Linked DNA regions of Caenorhabditis elegans. The protein of the gene in region 1 interacts with the protein of each later gene in a pairwise test. Each region holds a gene or a part of one and is shown on either strand. Other genes may lie near its edges.

Evidence for each region.
Region 2: the proteins of scrm-5 (region 1) and F22H10.3 interact in a two-hybrid assay, tested with the Caenorhabditis elegans proteins (one large-scale study listed by BioGRID).

The regions. Positions count from the first base shown.
Region 1 is NC_003282.8:4,160,447-4,165,097, reverse strand, and holds scrm-5 (Phospholipid scramblase), read right to left. Parts: upstream 2,678-4,651; 5' UTR 2,635-2,677; intron 2,580-2,634; 5' UTR 2,577-2,579; coding exon 2,352-2,576; intron 2,304-2,351; coding exon 1,944-2,303; intron 1,059-1,943; coding exon 872-1,058; intron 815-871; coding exon 675-814; 3' UTR 618-674; downstream 1-617. Other genes in the region: scrm-8 (Phospholipid scramblase), read right to left, coding at 1-52, 101-319.
Region 2 is NC_003284.9:16,676,772-16,679,786, reverse strand, and holds F22H10.3 (Spore coat protein), read left to right. Parts: upstream 1-2,079; coding exon 2,080-2,319; downstream 2,320-3,015. Other genes in the region: F22H10.2 (VrrB protein), read right to left, coding at 1-247.

The DNA.
Region 1 (4,651 bases):
TGGTATGGGCGATTGCGCTGAGGATGTTGTTGCTGGCAAGCTGAACGAAGCCCTGAAAAGTCAGAATTTAGAGCGGTCACCATTAGCTAGAATGACTTACAGTCATCTGAACCGGCATCGCTGCCACCTGATTCGGAATTTTCATTGGCGTCGATCTCGCCGCTGGCAGCTTCGTTCCAGCATTGTTTCTTCTACCGAACCCCGCTCCCTCGGCACGTGGCTCATCCTTCTTTGAATCCTGCTCAACCTCCTCAGGTGACTTCACCGCGGACGTTAAGCTAATTGCTTTCAATGGTAGCTGTCCCGGTTGAATATTCATTTTCTGAAAAAATTATGCGGGTTTTGAGGGAAAACCAAGAGAAATAAGAAAACTCACATAGAAAAGTGTTGGTCACAAGTCGGAAATAAATTAATTTTGAAAATCTGATCTGATTGTACTATGTGGAACTTCACGTCAGATTTAAATTTCTGTTGGAAAAAAATAGGAAATTATCTGCGGAATTGTTGTCTGCTGCACGTGTATTAGTTATCGCAATTTTAACAAGTCATTTGTGCCCAGAAAACGCAATCTTTTGCTGAGAAATTATCAGCTAGTAGGTATAGTAAGAAGAAGCCAGAAAAAACTAGTTTATTCTAGTTTGCAAGTGAATTTGTGAACAGGATCCTTTATAAGTTTAGAAGCTGCTATGCATTCCGCTATGCATTCCGCCGTTACGATGTTGATCCTGGTTACGATCCTCGAAGTAGGTGAAGTCGATCAGGAAAACCGAGGTGACAAGCAGAAGCTTCAAGATTGGCGGCATGTCCATTGGGACTGAAATATTCCAAAATTAAGATAGAAAAGATCAGAAGCTTAGAATAAAATGCTTACAATGAACAATATAGGTGTCCGCATCGGTGAACATCTCCTGCATGAATCCCGGGTAGAGGCGGACAATTTCTCCGACGAGCACACCATTGAAGGTCATCACTGGGAACTTCTGGGTGCCACCACAGCCTGCACAACCTGGAGATTGGATGAGCAGGGGCTGGTTGCAGCCGGATCCGACGAGCTCGAACTGAAAGAAAAGGTTAATAGGATGTGTCTCAAGGAGGATGGGAGATTCAGGTGAAGAGCTAATAAAGCTTCAGCCTATAGGAACGATTGCTCTGATCAGGGGTGTGCGGCAAGTTTGGCGAATTTGGCGAATTTGCCGCGTTAAAAATTCAGTAGTTTTGGTGCTTCAAAAAACATCAAATTTTTCGGAGTTAGTTGAGCTCGGCAAATTTGCCGAGTTTGCCCTTGTACAAGGTGTCATGCTAGTCCCGATGTTGCCGTTCAGCGGTATATAGATATAGATCTATAGATCTACGTATAGTGCAATTGTATAGTGCAATTTATATCTGTAACTTGGTACATTGGTGACGTACGGTCCTTCCGCCTTGCTCTGTGTTTCTCTCTTTTAGTGTGTCAATGCCTAGCCGCTGGGCGGCAGAGCAAAGGCGTGAAACCTGTACGTCTATGTACCAAGTAATAGGCTTTCTAGATAAACATCTTAATACTGAAAGACATTTGGACAGTCTAGTAACCTATAGTCTATATCTATGTCAGTACAAACTTGGCACATTGCAACCTACAGTCCTTCCGCTTTGCTCTCTTTTGTGTATCAATGTCTTGCGGCTGGGCGGCAGAGCAAAGCGGAAAGACTCTAGGTTGCTATGTGCCAAGTTACAGATATATTATAGATCGGACTATAGATAGGGCATCAGGGGTGTGCGGCAAATTTGCCGTTTGCCGAGCACTGCAAGTTTCAAAATTTGCCGCACAGCCCTGGCTCTAAGCTCGATCAAGATTGATGCAAACTCAGATCAGCGAAAAGATCTCTTTTGAGAAAAATGTGATTTTTCCAAAGAATGCTTCAGGGCTCTGGATTACTGTAGTTTTACTTGATACTAGCACTCACATTAGGATTGCAGCACTCCTTCTTCATCATCCCAATCTGCTGATCGAGGAACTGGGTGCTCAGAAAATCATCGGTCGAGCAGCATGGTCTTCCTCTGAAGCACGTCATCACCTGAGCTCCGTGGGTATCCATGATCTGCATTCCGAAGTTACGATCGTTTCCTTCGTACTGACGAGCGAAGATGTTCGATCTTTCCATACAATAAAGCAGCGGGCGGCAGTACATGTCATGGACCACGTAGCGATTCGGAGTTTCGAATCCGGTGAAGATCTCGAGGGGTTTGATGCATTGGACAACCATCACAGAGTTGGTATGGGCAATGGCGCTGAGAATGTTGTTGGCGACAAGTTGGACGAAGCCCTGAAAAGTCAAAAGTTAAAACGATCACTATTAGCTAGAATGACTTACAGTCATCTGAACCGGCATCGCTGCTACCTGGTTCGGAATGACCATTGGCGTAGATCTTGCCTCTGGGAGTCTCTTTCCACCACCTCCACCTCCTCCGAATCCTGCAGCCTTGGCACGTGGCTCTCCTTTCTTCGAATCCTGCTCCGGCTCAACCTCCTCAGGTGACTTGGCCGCAGACGTCAAGCTAAGCGATCTCAATGGTTGCTGTCCCGGTTGTTTGTTCATTTTCTGAAAAAATTTTGCGGGTTTTTTGGGGAACACTGACAGATATAAGAAAACTCACATATCAGATCGTTGTTCACTAGTCGAAAATGAATGAATTTCAATCGAAGGGAGTATTGATTTTATTTGTTGTTTCGAAAATTGAATACGTGGGGAAAAGGGATAGGGCAGAAAGGGCAGAAAGTTCATATTCACGTTTGAACTTATCTAATTTATTTAAAAATTTATTTATTTACCCCGTGGCTCCAAATTTTCTAGAAACTATGAACAAAAACATCCCGCAGCTCTTCCAAAACTTTCTCGAATTCACCGATCTGAATTTTCGGTACTGAACAAAAACTAATAGATTTTCAATGGTTAAGCAGCCAAACTATATATTCGTTTTGTGGATCTTCAGTGAAACACTGAAGATGACTTTGCAGCATGAAACCTGAAACCAGTGGCTCCTGGCAACCAGCACAATAAATTTGGAGCTCGAAATCAGTACTTGAACAAGCAGTGATAACTTGTCAAGCGTTCGCTGAGTCTCAAAGTTATCAACTAGAAGAATGCACATCGACATGTAAATTCTTCCATACAGGATAGTGTGGCAGAATTTTAATTTCTGCAAAATTACTTTGAAACAAATTTTTATCAATCTCCCAGACTAAAAAACTTTTGAAGTGTTATCTGTTGAAATGTGTAAGCTATTGGAATGTTCAAATGTTTATTCAAATGAATTGCAAAACTTGGCATTTAGTCAGCATATGGTGGCCAGTAGTCAATATCGCTGAAAAAAGTTATTTTTCTGATGAACTAGCACTAACATTATCTTACATCGCAGCGTATTGTCTAATTTGGAGTTTGATTGGCGTATTGTCAGAATATGAGTACTCAAGTTTCATGTTGTAGATAGCAGCATCGAGGTTTCCATAGCCTGCTCGAATTGTGCTATTTTTCTGAAATAGCTAACGTATATTCCCTGTTAGTGAGGCATAGGATTACTGGAGCCTGCTCTCGAAATTTATTGTCTTATCAAACAGTTACTGAAGTTATAAAACGGCCACAGTCCCCAGCTTGGGTGTGGCTTAAATTACCGCCCAGTAGGATCACCACCAGGTATTACAAAAACAAACTTCGACCAGAAAACAAAAAAATTTTTGGTCGAACTTTGGACCAAAAAACAAGAAACAAAAAATCGAAATTTTCAAAAAAACCAACAAAAAAAAACTAAAAAAAACAAAAAACAAAAAAAATTTCACGGTTTGATATCAAACGGGACAAAACAGGAATTTTTCATGAAATATTAAAAATTGAACACACGAACGATTGAACAAGGTTTTTTGTTCTCATTTGTTTAATTTTTTGCTGAATCAGTGTTGCAATTTATTTTTTGGTTTTTTTGGTCTCAAAAAACCAAAAAAATCAGTGCACAACGCTTGAAAAACGGATCGACCTTTAATCCTTTAATCATTTAGTCTCTAATCGTGAGGTTATTACTTTCAAAGGTAGTAACCTCAAAAAACGGTATCGTATGAGTACATGTAGGAAACGTTACCTCATTGGATGGGGATCCTGGATATCCATAAAAACCACCATTGGTAGATGATGAAGCATTGTACCAAGAAAGGTAAAATGATTGGAATGTATCAATGGGACCTCAATTTGTAATATTAACAAGTTATGATAATCATATCAAAATTTGTACCATGGTTCTGTACAGTTACTGCAAAGTCGACCCCGGCAAAGAATGTCCCGTTGGGTTTAGTGTGGAACAGTGAAGGCAGTACAATGGAGCCTTTTCCGGACACTACAGGATTCACCGAATAAATGGCTACAGGCCAAAATAGCCCAAAAAAACGAATTTGAGACTGAAATTAATTAAGAGTGAGGAGCGACCTCTGAAATCTTACATCGTTGAATTGATCATCATTTCGAAAATCGGCTAGTCCATTTGTTTTAAATGAGAGGTCATAGAGGGTGAGTGGTTGGGATCCACCTGATGGAGTATTTGATGAAATTACATGAACCATTCCATGATGCGATCGAATTTTGGCTACTAGATTGGAAATATTATTCTCATTTGGGTTTCGTTTCGA
Region 2 (3,015 bases), on another chromosome or scaffold:
CATGGTGATGATGGTGGTGTCCGAAATGATGTCCACCGTGATGGTGATGATGATGATGTCCTCCAGTCAAAGCATGTCCAAGACCATGGAGTAATCCATGATGGTGATGGTGATGGTGCCCATGATGATGCCCTCCGTTATTGTGAACATGAACAGTTGGCGGAGCATAGCCTCCTGGACCACCGAATACTGGTGGAGGAGCAAATCCCTGTTGTCCGTACGGGTTGTAACCTCCGTTTTCGTACATGTTGTCTTAAATTCTAAAATGAAAAATTTTAAGTAGAACAAAATAATATATACAATAATTTTCAGAGCGGGAACGGAAACGAAAAGAATGAAAAATTAAAATATTAAGAAAGGTGAACTGATGTCTAACTGAAATTTTTCGGTGATATTTAAACACCAGAAACATAAAAAAAGAAATTGCGTCATGGCGGAGGACAAACCCCCCATTTAACACTGATAAGCATTAAAAAAAGAGCACACCGACGTATTGTTGTTTGCATTAGTCAGAGCCTCTTCCTGAGTGCAAACAAAAAAAACACATAGATCAGTTGAATTGTCTGGATGATTCATAAAAACACAATGTGGTGATGTGTTTTGAAATAGTTCAAGGCGCCGTTTTTTTTTTTTGGATTTTGGCCATTAAGCTACCTGTTTTCATTATTCTGACAGATCTTCGCCATTTTTTCTAACCAGAACTAACATGAATTTTTGAGAGGAGTAGCACCATTTCTGACAGCTCTATTCTCTCCACTTTTACTAACTTCTCCGTGAGCCTGGGAGCTCAATTTATTTCGGAAATTGGTAAAGCATTGGACGTCCCTGGCACTGCGTTTTTATTCAAAGAAATGTTTAGGGACCAATTAACTTTAACTGTAAAAATACAGTAGCGATTGCTTCGTGAACACTCCAATTCCTCAGAGTGTGGGACCTGGTTGTAAGCATGAAACGCGGATTTTAGTCTTCTTTTTCACTACAAACAAAGACACTAAAAATTTGGACAATAGAAAACTGAAAAAACCTCGCCCCGGGCTATCAAACAAGGCTCTACTGTGTTAAGGTATCGGTATTTTTAGCGCGAATGTATTCTCAATTGGCTGAATTTCTGCTAATCACTAAAACTTTGGCAAAATTAGGACTTGAGCTAAAATTATATATATTTCGTGCTGAAAAGAGCAGCAATTGTAGAGAAATAAAAATATTAACATGAAATGAGTCTTTTTTTTTGGGCATTTTCACATAATTTTCACCATTAATTTCTCGGTTTAAACAAATTAATTTATCATTTAAGTGCATTTGTATTCAACAAAAACACTGCGTTAAACTTTTTTCCAAACTTTGAACCAAAGTTCAAAGTGTCCATATATATATATCTCCTTACAAATTTTTCATCCGTGTTTTATGCACGTACTATGAATTGATTTACTTTGGCTCGAACTCTATTTACCAAAAGTTTGAAGACCACTGATTGCTTTGTGTACGCTTACTGATAAGCTTTTGACTTTTGATTCCGGAATCGTCTAGATTGATTTGTATTTGAGTGATTCCCATAAGCACGAAAAATTGACAGAAATAAAACAATTGTTCCTCAATTCTATTTCGACATAGCTTTCGCTCCTGATGTTTTTGAGTCAATATTGACGGGAGCCAAATACTAACGTCACTTCTTCCAATATGGCAACTTTTATTTCTTTAATTAGATCTTCTTTTTTAGAATTTGTTTATTTTTATTGCTTTTTTTATTTCTAAATATGTCATTCTTCCAATTCTTCCAATGACTCATTGAACCTTCATTTTCGAAATCGATGAATAGGAGAAACTTATTCGGGAAAAGTGTCACACTATTTGCATATCAAGTGACGCGTTTCTCCTTCCCGCTGATACTAAAACGATATAAAATACCTCGACCTATCAGCCTATTCCCATCAGTACCTTGACTGGCCTCATGACATTTGCCTCGTTTTTATTTCTCCATTTTCATTTTTAATACCTTGCCTATCAGTTTACTTAACCCTCTTCGTGCCGCTTTTCTGACTTTCTTGACATTTCTCAACTTTCAGTTCGACTTTCTTCGCCATGGCCTATAACCCCTACAACGGTTCGTACCCATACCCACCACCAGTCGGATATGTCCCACCACCAATGGGATATGCTCCACCAATTGCTCCAATTCCAATGGTTGCTCCAATGCCAGTTCCAGTTGCACCAATGATGGCTGCACCAATGTATGGAATGCCACCACCAGTTGTTGTTATTGAGGAACCATATCATCATCATCATCACTGGAATCCATTCCACCATCATCATCATTGCTAAATTTTGCCTGGAGTTTGGTTGGGGGTTTTTGGACGTTTTTTTAAATGTGATATTTTGCCCTGATGTATTAAATAAATTGTTTTGATATTGTTTTAATTGTTTCCAATTTATAAATTGCACTAATTCAGAAAAACGATAGTTATCCACCATAATGATGCATGGTTCTACTTGACTAGTAAAATTTAAAACTACGAGTATGCTGTCTGACACATAACTGTGGCATTCGGATGACAAAAATTCAAAATAATTCATGAACAAATACCATCAAAACGTGAATTCCACAGAGAAGGCAATTAGGGCTCAAATATTTCACATGGCATAGAAATACTTCAGTTCTTCTATACGGTTGACACAACCCAACATTCTAAGATACTTAGATACTTACTTACTTACTTAGAGAGAGAAACGTGTACAATGATAGTAACGTCGTTAAATAATATTTAAATGATATAGCACATAAATTTCAGTGTTTCTACTAAGTGGCACAACTATGCAAAAAATGTTGCCGCGAGTTCATAAACTATTTTTGAGAGTTTTTTATTTAGTATTTATGTAATTTGCGCGTGGATCACGATTTACTACCCTCGTTTCTCATTTCCCTTGATTTTTCTCAAAAACCCTGTCGTGAAAATGTCAAAACCCAGCAGAAAGGTAAAAACGAAAATAGGAAATTGTAAGTTTCGCGAGGTAATTAAA